2 linked regions of the Macaca mulatta genome follow. The protein of the gene in region 2 purifies or fractionates together with the protein of the main gene of each other region. This does not show direct contact. Links are inferred from orthologs where the notes say so. Each region holds a gene or a part of one and is shown on either strand. Other genes may lie near its edges.

Region 1 (7,516 bases), on a different chromosome or scaffold from region 2:
TTTACCCGTGCAGTTCAAACCCTGTTCAAGGATTGAATATATTTAGTGTACTAGTAGAGGAGAGGTCCTAAGATGTTGGTAACTGGTCAAAAAACCAAAAAAGTCTAGGGTACCATCTGGACTTTTGCTAACATCTGAAGGAAACTAAGTGACTGGAGAGTAGGAAAAGCTGGAAAGGTTGAAGCACATGGAACTAGTAAAAGGACAAGCAGAAACGTGTTTGCCTGGAGAGACAGGTACTTAGATGACTGAATTGGCCTCTGCGTTCTAATGGTTGAGCCACTTGGGGTGTGGTTTGGTTTGCTTTGTAGAGTTGGTTTGTGCTGCACATGTGTATGTTCTGCCATTTCCAGGACGAAAAGGAGGTTGTGCTAAAGGGAAAGGAGGATCGATGCACATGTATGCCAAGAACTTCTACGGGGGCAATGGCATCGTGGGAGCGCAGGTAGTCAAGGACGAGGACTGTGTGCTGCTTTAGATTTGGCCCTGGCCTTTGTCTTCAAAAACTTTCCCAGCCCCAGACAACTTTTCGTGAAGTAGTATAGCCATGTGCTGCACAGTGACACTTTGGTCAATGTCGCATATATGATGGTGGACCCATAAACTTATAATAGAGCTGAAAAATTGCTGTCACCTAGTGATGTTGTAGTGGCACAACACATTACCTTTTCTATGTTTAGGTACGCAAATATTTTGCCTACAGGATTCAGTACAGTCACATGCTGTGCAGCGTTGTAGCCTAGGAGCAGTAGGCTCTACCATACAGCCTAGGTGTGCAGTAGGCTGTACCTTCTAGGTTTGTGCATTACAGTATGGTGTTCACACGACAAAATAGCTTAGTGATGCAATTCTGAGAATATATCCCTGTTGTTAAGCGATGCGTGACTGTATTTTGGGGGCTTGGTTTGCTTTTAAAGACCTAGTGCTTCATATCCTACCATTTGAGCGATGAGTTGAGTAGATTTGGATGGTGATTTATAATGTTTCCTTTTAGGTGTCTGCTATTTTATAAGTAAGCAAGAGCCTCTAGCAGTGGAGCCTACCTTCCCCTTCCTATTTGTATTTCAGTACATTGCCTTATCTTGTCAACTTCATTATGGAGTCCTTGTTCTCATCAGTTAGTGGATGATGAAGAATTAACAGCACAAAATTATATCCCAACTGTTTCTCTTCCTAATATATTAAGATTCTATTATGTGTTTTTTTAAAAAACCTACTTTTTTTTTCCCCCTTTTTTCTTTTGAAATGGAGTCTTGCTAAGCCGCCCAGGCTGGAGCAGTGGTGTGATCTCAGCTCACCGCACCTCCACCCCCGGGTTCAAGCAATTCTCCTGCCTCAGCCTCCTAAGTAGCTGGGACTACAGTTAAGCGCCACCGTGCCCAGCCATTTTTTGTATTTTTAGTAGAGGCAGGGTTTCACCATCTTGTCCAGGATGGTCTCGATCTCTTGACCTCGTGATCTGCCCAAAGTGCTGGGATTACAGGCGTGAGCCACCATGCCCGGCCACGTTTTATTTTTTAACTCTTGAATGCAGAAATGTTATTGCTTACTGGTTAAAATAGAACATAGTATTTATATATTCCTTTACTGCTTCATTGAAAGTATCGGGGGTGGGATAAACAGAGAGATGGGGTTGGAAGGAGAGTTTGTAGCAGCAGTGTAATTTCTGTGCCAGATTCTGACCAGGAGTTAAAATGCAGGGCATTGATATCTCCCCTCATGGATTTCTATGGTTCCTTTCTCGGTTGTCCTTAATGTTAGGTGCCCCTGGGCGCTGGGATTGCTCTAGCCTGTAAGTATAATGGAAAAGATGAGGTCTGCCTGACTTTATATGGCGATGGTGCTGCTAACCAGGTAATTATGTCTCTTAACTTTCCAATAACGGTCTTATTTTCAAAGTGTTTAATATTCACAGTTGAATTTCCAAAGAAGCAGCTTATTGCTTATTAGGTGAAATAGTAATTCCTATGGCTAGCTCAAATTTGGTTGACTTATGGCCAGATTAGAGAGTGACCTTTTAGCATTGTTTCACAAAAGACTTAGGGGGGCGCATTCCTGTGAAGGAGCTCACCTTTGCTCTATATCAGTGCTTGATAAAGGACCTCCCCTAACCTATTGCAAAATGATACAGACCCATTCTCTTGGATGTCCGCGCTGGCAGTGTCAAATTCGGGTAATAGCGTCTCAGTCCTAATTCAGTTTTTGTGCTTCTCTTGGTACCGAGTAATACCCAGTCTGTGGCCGGTACTCTGTGAAGCCCTGTTCTAGAGGCTGATTCTTAGGTGCTGGTTCACTCTGACTATCCAGTGGGCCCGATAGATTTCATACTGATCTTTTTTCCAGTGTGTTCCTTACTGCTAGCATGGCCCCAAAGAAACAAGTAGTAGTTGGTTTGTCATCTTTCTTAGTTGCAAGAGTATGATGCCTGCTGCTTCTCATCTGTCACCCACCCCGCTTTCCCTCACCATCCAAAGCTCGGTTTTTTGGTTGTTTTTTTTGTTTTGTTTTTGAGAGAGAGTCTTGCTCTGTTGCCCAGGCTGGAGCGCAGTGGCACGATCTCCGCTCACTGCAAGCTCTGCCTCCCGGGTTCACGCCATTCTCCTGCCTCAGCCTCCCAAGTAGCTGGGACTACAGGCGCCTGCCACCATGCCCGGCTACTTTGTATTTTTAGTAGAGACGGGGTTTCACCGTGTTAGCCAGGACGGTCTTGATCTGCTGACCTCGTGATCCACCCTCCTCGGCCTCCCAAAGTGCTGGGATTACATGCCTGAGCCACCGTGCCCAGCCCAAAGCTCGGTTTTAGAAGAGGAGGCTTTCTGTGCTTTATGAAAGCTTTCTGTGCCAGGCAGAGCAGCAGCTGTTACAGATGATGGATCCTAGAGAAAGAAGCCAAATGAAACCCCTTTTCATAACTACTTCCAGGGCCAGATATTTGAAGCTTACAACATGGCAGCTTTGTGGAAATTACCTTGTATTTTCATCTGTGAGAATAATCGCTATGGAATGGGAACATCTGTTGAGAGAGCAGCAGCCAGCACTGATTACTACAAGAGAGGCGATTTCATTCCTGGGCTGAGAGTAAGGACACCTGTGGTGGGGCCGGGGCCAAGGCCAGGGGTATGTCCTTGTGCAGACCCTTGACAATCTTAGAAACATTGAAGAGTTTCGTTCTCAAACATAAGCAGGTGATGTGAAAGTAAAATGGTTTGGGGCAGCTGGATTCATGCTTCGCCCCTCCCGTTTATTAACAGGTGGATGGAATGGATATCTTGTGCGTCCGAGAGGCGACAAGGTTTGCTGCCGCCTATTGTAGATCTGGGAAGGTAAGACTCTAAAGGCCTCTGGGCTAATGACATTTATCTCTGGAAGTTCAAAGACTGCCTCCCGTGTGCCTGCTGAAGCTGTTAGTGGGTAGCTGCTAATTGAGGTGCACAAGATGGAAGCAGAGTGAAGCAAGCAGGGCTCCTTTGGGTAGCTTGGTCTTGGTAGCTCACCTGCTGGGAAGCCCACATTTCTCTCATTTGGGGGAAGTCTGTCCTGGTGCTTCCTCTGCTTTCGCCTGTCTTCATCATGACAACTACACTGCCTTTTTGTTAGGTTAATTCTGTCCCTCCTCCCCACCCCCCATTAATCATGAGTCCCTTGAAGGAACAGATTGGGGATCCCCGTAGTGTCCAGCATAGAATGTCATGTATACAATAGGCATTTAATATGTGTGTCTTACACAAACAGTATGGTTGAAGCTTGTAATCTTAGTCTTGCTCAGTCCTAAGGATCTTTCCCTTCAGTGTATGGCAGTGAGGGAGATGGTAACAGGGAGACTGGCCTAAAGAGGTTTCAGTTCCTTCAGCACTAGTATAGGCTTAGGAGGTTTAGGTGTTCTCCCTAAATTAGTGTTCCACAGCCCAGACACAAGGTTTCTGAAGTTGTCACTTCAGTGCCATACCATGTATGTTTGGGCAGTGATGCAAATGTCAGAAAGTGGGGAGACAGGGAAGTAAGGGTGGGATGTAGTAACATTAAATAAGAGCTAATGAGTAGAATGAACTAGAGCAGGACCAAGATGACAGCTTGGATACAATGGGCTGAGCAGTCTGTCAGGACCCTAAGGCTGGGAGTGCCAGGCCCTGAGTGATGGATATTGACCCCACCTCTCCCAATTCCTGAAAAGAATACATGGGGGCCAGCCCTGGCTGGAGACATGGTGATTTGTAGAATGTATGACTTCCCAAACACATAACCTTCACAATTCTGAGTTAGGTGTTACTGTTTTGCCCATTTTGCAGACAAGGAAACTGAGCCACAGAGCAGTTAAAGGTACATAGCTACTCTTATCATGGAGCCAGCTCCCCACTCACCCATTTTAACTACTGCACCAAACCAATCAAGGATCCTCAATGTTTCCCCATCCCTCAGTGTTCAGAGCCATCTCCTGGAAGTGGGCTAGTGTAGAATGAGCAAGCCACTTGGTGATAGACCCCAAGTGGTCATACTCCCAGCAGAGCCTCAGGGTTTGGGTAGCAGAGGTTGTTGGTGCCTGTCAACTTTGTTACACACTAGCAGGATCTGTGAAGTAGAAGTGGCTGCCAGCCCCACAACACACTACGAGAAAGGAGCATGAGATGGAAATCTGCCTAGCCAATAGCAGGAGGCTCTAGAACATGCTCAAAGCCTTTTTTTTTTCTTTTTTTGAGACAGAGTCTCGCTCTGTCCCCCAGGCTGGAGTGCAGTGGTGCGATCTCGGCTCACTGCAAGCTCCGCCTCCCGGGTTCATGCCATTCTCCTGCCTCAGCCTCTCGAGTAGCTGGGACTACAGGCGCCCGCCACCGTGCCCGGCTAATTTTTTTTTGTATTTTAAGTAGAGACGGGGTTTCACCGTGTTAGTCAGGATGGTCTTGATCTCCTGACCTTGTGATCCGCCCGCTGCTGGGATTACAGGCGTGAGCCACCGCACCCAGCTGCCTTTTTTTTTTTCACAGGGTCTTGCATGGTGGCACACTCACAGCTCACTGCAGCCTTGACCTTCCAGACTCAGGTGATCCAAGTAGCTGGGACTACAGGTACATGCCACCATGCCTGGCTAATTTTTGTGTTTTTTGTAGAAATGGGGTTTTGCCATGTTGTCCAGGCTGGTCTCGATCTCGAACTCCTGGGCTCAAGTGATCCAACCACCTCAGCCTCCCAAAGTGCTGGGATTACAGGCATGAGCCAACACACCTGGCCTTCAAAGCCTTTTTGATTCAAAACAAGCTGTTGGTAGATTGCCTTATTATAAATGAGAAGACTGAAATATGCAATCAATACATGCTAGAAATGAGAACAGATCAGTCAACCAATAAGAAATCCATGATACCTCAAAAGATCTGGTAAGAATACACTGGATGCTTAATAAAGGGCCTGCGTTTGAGGCCGTGGAGTGTCAGCCTGCTCTTCACGTCATCGTTCCTAACTGCCTACCACTTCTGTTTTAGGGGCCCATCCTGATGGAGCTGCAGACTTATCGTTACCACGGACACAGTATGAGTGATCCTGGAGTCAGGTGTGCTCATGGGCACTGTGGTTTCCAGAGGGGGTGGGCTTTGAATGGTGTTACATGGCAAAAGAAACACATTTCAATATTTGCTTTTGGAGCTAGATACCAGTTCACTTCATGCATGCAGTTGTGTTGGCATCAAGTTACCTGAAAGCAGTGCCTCCTAATAAGAAAGCTTTACTGAAAATGCCTACAATGTATAGTGTGTGTGAGCACGAGCAGTGATTTTTAGAGTGTTATATACCTTAATTGTGCAGGAAAATTGTTACATAAAACAAGACCGATGGTAGTGTAGTATCTTGGGGGCATTTAGCTTTTGTAGGCATTACCCCAAGTCCATGCATGGCATACTCCACCTGAGGAGGATCAGAATTTGGAGATGTTCTTCTGTCTGGTATAGAGCTAAGGGTAACTAGGTGTTCAATCCGTTCAAATACATCAATCAAAAAAGCTAGGTTTCACTAGAAAGGCATGAATTTTACTTTTTTGCTTAGCTCTGGCCTGTAATTCTGGAATCCCAGGGTTGACACAGTTGAATAAATAAGCCTTTGTAGAGTGGATTTCTAAGGGAAAATCATGTAGAGAGCACAGTATATGGAATAGATCCACTTTGTGTAAATCTGTTGTGGAAAATGGTAGAATCCTTTTAGTGTTACTTCAAATGATGTAAGCGTAAGATACATTGGTTTTGCTGGCTATGCTTCTTTAGGGGGGCTTAAGGGAGAAAGGCAAGGCACGTGGATTTCCTGCTTGGTGCTCTTAAAATCTATCACCACACACACCATCTCTGCTGTCCCCTCCCATGTAGTATACAGGAGCCCAAATGGGTGGGATGAGTGACACTTCTTTAGACCCTTATGTCTAAGTCAAAGAAGCAAGCAAAAACTTGGCCCCTGTTGTCAGAATGCCAGGGAAGCCACGTGACTTACCAGCGTACCGTTTTCTAGAAGACAGCAGTAGTTCTTACAGAATGTTAGGCTGTGCTCTGGTATTTTGAAAGTATAACTCTGCCACTCCTATAGTGACATAGCATTGATGTGCCCCTTTGTTTCAGAAACACACTTCTGTATTTCACCTAATTGGGACAATCCAACCCCATGTCATATTTCATCATGCTGTCCTTGCTCTACTGGAACTGTTCTTACTGATCGATTACTACTTTTCCCTCCCCATAGTTACCGTACACGAGAAGAAATTCAGGAAGTAAGAAGTAAGAGTGACCCTATTATGCTTCTCAAGGACAGGATGGTGAACAGCAATCTTGCCAGTGTGGAAGAACTAAAGGTACAGTCACTTGTTTGGTGGTTTGAAGGTTGGCTTTTTTTGCCTCCCACAGAAAAAGTTGCCACCCCCTGGGTGGCCACAGCGTTTGGGTGGGTTCCTCCAAGCCCAGAAAGTGATGTGCCGGGGCATAAATAATTCCGAAGTCCCTCGGGGTGGGGGCTTTTCCTTTAGTTTCCTCTATTCAAAATTGTATTACTCTTTAGATTTTGGTGGACTGTAAACCACCATCACAGTGGCAAAGCCCCCACAGTAGCATAGTAGCATAATTCTTTTTTTCCTAAAAGTATACTGTGGATTTTTAATTCATAAAAAATATACACCCTAGAAATCTGTATTCCAAAATCTTCTGAATTAGCAACTGTTCATACTTAGAGTTACACCAGCAACAGGTCCTCCGTAGAACTCTGGTTGGTACCTAAACTGCTGTTCATTCAAAAACCTTTTACACTGTTACCTAATTTTTAGGAAATTGATGTGGAAGTGAGGAAGGAGATTGAGGATGCTGCCCAGTTTGCCACAGCCGATCCTGAGCCACCTTTGGAGGAGCTGGGCTACCACATCTACTCCAGCGACCCACCTTTCGAAGTTCGTGGTGCCAATCAGTGGATCAAGTTTAAGTCAGTCAGTTAAGGGGACTAGAAGGGGGAGGTTATACCTTCAGGGGGCTACCAGTGTTCTCAACTTGGTTAAGGAGGAAGA
Region 2 (8,028 bases):
TATATATGTAAAGTTATATTTTCTTAGAAACATGGATGTTTGCAGCCATTGCTTTCAAAGAGATTATTACTGTGTATTCTCCCTGTTTTACAATATGTTTTCATGAAGACTTTGTTACACCAGAGGCTTCTGATTATGAAAGTGATAACCAGTTTTAACTGCCAGTATGTACCAGATTTGTGAACTAATTTAAAAAACCACGAACTATGAATAAAATGGAGTTTGCAAACTAAATATCATTAATGATTTTCACTTGTGTTTATTGATGAGATTAATCAATAAAGCCATTTACATTTAGTGAAAACAAATTTCCTCAAGTGATCTCCCTGGCAGCATGTTTACTCACTATGTGGAGTGGAGATAAGGATTACTTTATTGCCACAGATATTTTACAATTAGTATTTCTGTGTAAGTACATAGGCTATTTCAAGGACAATTTATTTAGCAATTATTTTGAAATTATATGTAAACATGCAAACAAATAAGAACCCAAGAGTATAAACTCTATGACAAAAGTCATGTATGCAAACATTAAGAACTCTTTCAGAAATGTGTATTTAAAATGACCAGAATTCCCAAATCATTTGAAAGCTGCCTGTTAAATGCCTCTTATCACTTCAACTTAAATGTTTGCTATATTAAATTCTTTATCCCTGAGTGCCTTCGACTTCCAATTATGTATTTTCAACTATTAATTTGCTATCCCATTATGTTAAAATTAAATATGTACATAACTCAAAATCTTTCACTACCAACTAATTTCTCTTTCTCAGTATCAGTGATACCACCATTCTAAGTCTCTCTACTTCAAACCTTTGAGTCTTGAGTCTCCTTTTCCATAATTTCCTTTATCCAATCTGTTTAGTAGAATTCAAGCTTGTTCTCTCAGGACTGATCTGACAAACCTAAACATTCCTAGCCCACCTTTGGTGTAAGCTTGCCATCTCTGGACTGTTTGAGCTATACATTCCTATAATTTAGCTACACTTAAGTCAAAACTATATTCAGGGCACAAACTCACTATTCTGTGAAAAATGCAAAACAGGGTTTAAGCAAGCATACCTAAGTGCACAGCAGATCCTGCAGATCACCTCATACTTTATACCAAAGGCTAATTTAGATCCAGTTATTGTCAGGCCTCTGAGCCCAAGCTAAGCCATCATATCCCCAGCGACCTGCACATATACATCCAGATGGCCTGAAGCAACTGAAGATCCACAGAAGTGAAAATAGCTTAACTGATGACATTCCACCATTGTGATTTGTTTCTGCCCCACCCTAACTGATCGATGTACTTTGTAATCTCCCCCACCCTTAAGAAGTTTCTTTGTAATTCTCCCCACCCTTGAGAATGCACTTGGTGAGCTTCACCCCCTGCCCCCAAACATTGCTCTTAACTCCACTGCCTATCCCAAAACCTGTAAGAACTCATGATAATCCCATCACCCTTGCTGACTCCTTTTTTGGACTCAGCCCACCTGCACCCAGGTGAAGTAGACAGCCTTGTTGCTCACACAAAGCCTGTTTGGTGATCTCGTCACATGGACGCGTGAACAGTTATTAAGTTCAAATGCAGCAAAAGCAGCAAGATATTTTAGCCAACTCAAAAACATTTTTATAATAATTTGTAAGTCCTGGACGGGCTTGTGGCTCACCCCTGTAATCTCAGCACTTTGGGAGGCCGAGGTGGGCGGATCACCTGAAGTCGGAGTTTGAGACCAGCCTTACTAACATGGTGAAACCCCCTATCTACTAAAAATACAAAATTAGCTGGGCATGGTGGCACGTACCTGTAATCCCAGCACTCGGGAGGCTGAGGCAGGAGAATCACTTGAACCTGGGAGGTGGAGGTTGCAGTGAGTCGGGATCATGCCACTGCACTCCAGCCTGGGTGACAGTGAGACTCCATCCCCAAATAATAGTAAAAATTTATAAGTCCTTTCACTAATTACAATTATTCTTCCATTGCTTCTTCCAATTGTTAATTCATAAATTGTACATAATTGTAACAATATAATTGCCCTCCTCTTCATACTATTTCAAATAAGCCTTTTCATTTAATCTGGAAATTTTATATTTCTCAATTATATTGCTTACATACTATTCTGATAGGCAACTGTACCTGCTTAAACATTCCAATTTAAGTAGGCATGAAACAGTATATCCAATCTGTTTTACTTTTCCAAATTAATTGTTAGCAAGATTAGGATTTTTTTTTTTTTAATTTTTTTTTTTTTTAGAGATGGTTGTCTCACTATGCTGCCCAGGCTGGTCTCAAACTTTTGGGCTCAAGCGATTCCCCAACCTCAGCCTCTCAAGTATTGCTGGGACTACAGGCATGCACCACCGCTCCTGGCTAAAATCTTGTTTTAAACAATTTTTTCCTCCAACTTCTTCTTGTGTTCTTGGTGTTCTCTAACCATCTGTACACTGGGGAGGCGGTGATACACAGCATATGCTTCCTCCTTATTTAATGTCACCTTCAGTTCAGAAACGATATGTTTCCTATTTAAAAGACAACTTTACAAGAGAAGCGTACCTAACAAAACGTCTAGGTGACTTTTTGTTCATTGATTCCAAAGACACAATCAGCCCCCGCTATTTAGTGGATACTAAGCTCTGAGGCTACATGGAAGAACCACGCAGGCACTCTTCCTGCCTTCAACAGCTTACAGTTAAGTTTAGGTAGCAAACATTTGAAACATAACGAAGCTTTTGGTTACTTAAAAGAATTCTATGGTGTTAGGGGGTAACACAAACCTGTTTTGTAAACCTGTATCTTTATACAGGGAATATGCTTAATCTTGCTACAGTATACAGGAATGTGGGAATGTTTCTTCCTCTGGGCTGCCTTTCGTACCACCTGGCTGGATGGAACACCTGTTCACTCCACTTTCCACTTGGGCTACAAACCTGAAATGAAATCTTTGCAACCAGTACAGCCTGCGCGGGGCGGGGCCCAGTCCTTCCCCCTTCGGATGCGCAGAAGCAGAGGTCACCACGCTGGACCCCTCGATTTCCTCGCGGGCGGTTCCCGGCTCCTTCACCACCCCAGCGCTTCAAGACCCCCGCCCTTTGGCCTGAGGCTCCCACTGCCCTAGCCAGTTCCCGGGCTCACTTCCAGCTTTTCCAGAAAGCTTGGCCACGCCCCTCGGCCCAGACTCTCAGGCCACTCGGCCGCAATTAACCCTCGTCTCGGTGCCTTTTTAGGCCCCTCCCTCTCAGTCGTGCCCTTCCCATGTCTTAGGCCCCGTCTCACCCTTTCGGATGCCTCCCCTAGGACCTTACCACTTTCCACCCCTTTCCGTCTGTTATTTGTCCCCAACTTGCGCCCGCACAGGCCCCTCTGGAACGCCCCTGCCGCGTGAGTGCCCCTCGTCCCCGCTCAGGGGAGGAAAAGCCTGCGTGCCGCGCATTTCTGGCCTGGGGAGCGGGTGGAGTAAACCTGCGGGAACCATTTTACGACAACGTGCGGCTGTGCGGCGTGGCTGACGGCAAAGCCGCGCTGCTGTTGGAGAGGTCACTCCGGAGACGGCGTTGGTGTTGGGGTGTGGGGGGTTGGTGGCACTATGTGGCGCGTCTGTGCGCGACGGGCCCAGAATGTAGCCCCATGGGCGGGACTCGAGGCTCGGTGGACGGCCTTGCAGGAGGTACCCGGAACTCCACGAGTGTCCTCGCGATTTGGCCCGGCTCCGGCTCGTCGCAACAGCGCGACTACAGGGTATGGAGGGGTCCGGGCACTGTGCGGCTGGACCCCCAGCACTGGGGCCACGCCGCGGAACCGCCTACTGCTGCAGCTTTTGGGGTCGCCCGGCCGCCGCTGTTACAGTCTTCCCCCGCATCAGAAGGTGAGCCCTAGACCCGCCCTTCTCGGATCCCCGTTGTCCTTCAGAGCTGACTGGATGCCTGCAGGATCCTCCTTGAGAGGCCTCATTGATCCTCCAACCATTCCCAGTATCTGCTTTCGTCCTTTGTCCAGTAGTCAGCTTTGGTTCCTTAGCTTCCCTCTCATGATCTATTCCGTTGAAACTATTCCGTTGAAAGGGGAACTTCAAGACTGGGGCTGTATGCAATTATCTGCCGAGGTTCATGCTTTGTGAGACCCGTAGGACTGTGGAGCAGAAAGCCTGTCACTGGAAATTACTAACTTCTCATGGGCAGAAACTGCCTTGGTATCCCTAGTTCCCAGTGTGTAATGGAACTGGATACACTTTGCATGAAATTGAATTGAATGAAATCTTAAGCCAGACTGAGAGTTAGGTAGCCCTTTAAAAATTTAATGTTTCTTCTTTTTCTCTTCCAGGTTCCATTGCCTTCTCTTTCCCCCACAATGCAGGCAGGCACCATAGCCCGTTGGGAAAAAAAAGAGGGGGACAAAATCAACGAAGGTGACCTAATTGCAGAAGTAAGTTGTTTTAAAATAACGGAGATGAGTTCGAAGAGACTGGCTTTGCCGAATTGACTGAACATTGACTTTCTGGATGTGTAGTTACCCCTTTGTTTAAGAAACTGAAGTGTTTTTCACAACTTGATGTTAGACAAGATTGGTTGGATAAGTTGCCAGCAGCTGGCCAAACTGATACTTAGCCAACGCGTTTCTAAAGTAATTTCTTCTTTCAAATCTGTCGTAGTGGCCTTATCGTCACATGAACTGTATCATTCTAGACACAGAGGCCAAGCTGGCCAACATGGTGAAACCCCGTCTCTGCTAAAAATACAAAAATCTGCTGGGCATGGCGGCCTCTGCCTGTAATCCTAGCTACTCGGTAGACTGAGGCAGGAGAATCGCTTGAACGTGGGACGGGGAGGTTGCAGTGAGCCGAGATTGCACCACTGCACTGCAGCCTTGGCGACAGAGTGAGACTCTGTCTCAAGAAAAAAAAAATTCTAGACACAAGCTAATAAACTACATACCGACAGTATAAAGCTGAGCTGCTGCTTTTTGTGTTAAAAGGTTGAAACTGATAAAGCCACTGTTGGATTTGAGAGCCTGGAGGAGTGTTATATGGCAAAGATACTTGTTGCTGAAGGTACCAGGGATGTTCCCATTGGAGCGATCATCTGTATCACAGTTGGCAAGTGAGTAGTGCACTCATAATTTATGGAACTTCATTGCTTGGTGGAGTATTTTACCCAGAATTGAGAATTAGGAGTTAAAGACTATTTTTTAAGACTACTTTTGTGAAAGTTGAATCTGCCCATTATATTTATGCATTCTTTCTCTTCCTTAGGCCTGAAGATATTGAGGCTTTTAAAAATTATACATTGGATTCCTCGCCAGCACCTACCCCACAGGCGGCCCCAGCACCAACCCCTGCTGCCACTGCTTCGCCACCTATACCTTCTGCTCAGGCTCCTGGTAGCTCATATCCCCCTCACATGCAGGTGAGGCTCAGCCTTTGAGTGTTTGCTCTAGGTGATTTATTACTTACTTTTTTTCATAGATGGCTACTACATCTTGGAAACTGACTTTAAATGTGGTTAGTTAGGTCTTGTCATTTGGGAGTATATAGAAATTTAAACATGAAGATTGACAACTTTTCTTCCTGGTTGTTCTTTCCAGTTATAAGAACTTGAACAGTTCCTGTAACCTTTCTCAGCCTCAGTGTAGTACACAGGGTAATTCGTGGCACTTTTCATTCAAGAACATTACATTACAGATTTTGAGGATGATTTTTACTAACATCTATTCCCTGTATAATTAGAGTTTATAGTAGGCTGTGTTAGTCTGTTTTACTCTGGCATAAAGAAATACTTAGGGCTGGGTAATTTGTAAAGAAAAAAAGGTTTATTTGGCTCATGGTTCTGCAGGCTGTACAAGAAGCACGGCGCCAGCATCTGTTTCTCTTGTGGCCTCAGGAAGCTTACAATCATGGTGGAAGGTGGAAGGGAAAGGGGAAGGGTGGTGTGTCACATAATGAGAGAGGGTGCAAGAGACAGAGGGGAGTGGGTACCAGGCTCTTCATAGCAATCAGATTTCCCCTTAACTCATTACCATGGGGCATGCACCAAGCCATTCATGAGGGATCCTCCTCCAACACCCAGACACCTCCCACCAGACCCCATCTCTAACACTGGGGATCATATTTTTTTTTCCACCTAGAAAAAAACTTTATTTACACAATCTTGGATTCTGAATTTCCGATACTTCCAGGGTCTCTTGATCAAATGGGGCCGCAGCAGGTAGGGAAGCAAACACAGGGGCCAGTCCAGATTATCTTACTGAAGAACACCACCAAGAAGAAGGGAAGGCCTAATTCAGTTTTGGTCTGGACTACATCTCCTCGCACTTTGAGATCACCACAGGTAGCTTGGGCTTATTGTTAGGGCCTGTGGGAACATTCTCAATCTTTCTCATCACTAGAAGTCCATCGATGAGTTTTCCAAACATTATATGCTTCCCATCCAGCCAATCGCACTTAGAGCAGGTGATAAAGAACTGACAGCCGTTTGTACTGGAACCACTGTTTGCCACGGAAAGCAGGCCTGGAGCTGAGTGTCTTAAGTTTAAAATTTTTGTCTGCAAATGGCTCCACATAATTACTGGCGACTCCAATACCATCTCCAGTAACAAAATCTCCACCCTGAGTCATGAAATCCTTTATGACCCTGTGGAAAGTGCTTCCTTTGTATCCTATTGGAACCCCATCTTTTCTGAATTCTCTAGTGTAGAACTGCGCAAAGTTCTCGGCCATCTTAGGCACAACTCTGCAAAGAGCTTGATCTTTGTGCGGCCAACTTCCTGACTGCCATTGCTGACATCAAAGAACACCATGGGGTTAGCAGGGCTTGAATTTGCCACCACCCGTGGCTCCGACCGGGAAGCAGAAGTCAGGGATCGTATTTCAGCATGAGATTTGGAGGGGACAAACATCCAAGCTGTATCATAGGTGTCAAGTGCTGTCTGTTGAATGAAAGTCCCCAATTGGTGTTCTTTTGACATGTGGTGATCTATTTTCCAAGAGTAGGTGAAGTAATCCAGTAGTATTAATAAATGAGAAAACTGATAAAAATTAAGTGTAAGATACACATAGGTAATAGCGTTGCAACAAAGTTGAAGGCAGTGAATGTAATCACTGTTGATTGTGCTAACTAAATCAGTTTCTAAGAAACTAAGTCAATTTATTAGGTATTAGGGTTATCTTCTGTATATTTGTGTGCTTTAGATGTTACAAGTGGATAAAAATCCAGCCATCCTTTTCTAAATAATTCTGACTAGCATTTCTCCTGAATCTAGTTTATTTGTAGAAATTTTTGTATAGGAATCATTTTCTTCTTTGGAAATAACGTTCTACTCCGTGGTTTGTTAGTAACAATCATTTAGGATTTTTGCCTGGTGTTCAGTTCACACATGTATTACATGCTGTTCGGCAGATTCTCTCTCATGATACAAGACTGACTTAATTTTCCTCTACTTTGTGCCTGTAGCTTTGTGTGCATGTGCTAGGGTTTTACCTTAATTATTCTTTAAGATACTGAATTGAATTCTGAATCTCTGATACTGTTCTTTAAGATCCTGTATAGAGATTATTGACTTCACTGTTGCTTTTTTTTTTTTTTTGAGCCTGTCACCCAGGCTGGAGTGCAGTGGCGCGATCTCGGCTCACTGCAAGCTCCGCCTCCCGGGTTCACGCCATTCTCCTGCCTCAGCCTCCCAAGTAGCTGGGACTACAGGCGCCCGCCACCTCGCCTAGCAAGTTTTTTTGTATTTTTTAGTAGAGACGGGGTTTCATGGTGTTAGCCAGGATGGTCTCAATCTCCTGACCTCGTGATCCGCCCGTCTCGGCCTCCCAAAGTGCTGGGATTACAGGCTTGAGCCACCGCGCCCGGCTGACTTCACTGTTTCTTAAGAAGCAGATGAAGATGGCAAATTCTGAACAAAAAAGGCACTTACAATTTTTTTTCTAAGGCTTGTCTTAATTTTTTCCCCTCTCTGGAAACATCTTCAATTGAAATTATTTTCCCCTCCGCATAAGCCTGTTGCTAATCAGATACAGAAGACAAAGAGGATAGCAAATGAATCCAAAT

Evidence for each region. Proteins that work in one complex are often made in the same cells at the same time.
Region 1: the proteins of DLAT (region 2) and PDHA1 fractionate together in Homo sapiens (co-fractionation; 3 studies listed by BioGRID). This does not show direct contact. The link is inferred for Macaca mulatta from reciprocal best matches to the Homo sapiens genes DLAT and PDHA1.

The regions. Positions count from the first base shown.
Region 1 is NC_133426.1:19,089,566-19,097,081, forward strand, and holds part of PDHA1 (pyruvate dehydrogenase E1 component subunit alpha, somatic form, mitochondrial), read left to right. Parts: intron 1-353; coding exon 354-445; intron 446-1,761; coding exon 1,762-1,854; intron 1,855-2,922; coding exon 2,923-3,078; intron 3,079-3,251; coding exon 3,252-3,323; intron 3,324-5,471; coding exon 5,472-5,539; intron 5,540-6,708; coding exon 6,709-6,817; intron 6,818-7,282; coding exon 7,283-7,447; 3' UTR 7,448-7,516. UniProt on the Homo sapiens protein: The pyruvate dehydrogenase complex catalyzes the overall conversion of pyruvate to acetyl-CoA and CO(2), and thereby links the glycolytic pathway to the tricarboxylic cycle.
Region 2 is NC_133419.1:112,776,360-112,784,387, forward strand, and holds the start of DLAT (dihydrolipoyllysine-residue acetyltransferase component of pyruvate dehydrogenase complex, mitochondrial), read left to right. Parts: upstream 1-3,504; 5' UTR 3,505-3,569; coding exon 3,570-3,848; intron 3,849-4,303; coding exon 4,304-4,405; intron 4,406-4,954; coding exon 4,955-5,079; intron 5,080-5,231; coding exon 5,232-5,385; intron 5,386-6,143; exon of another isoform or gene 6,144-6,943; intron 6,944-8,028.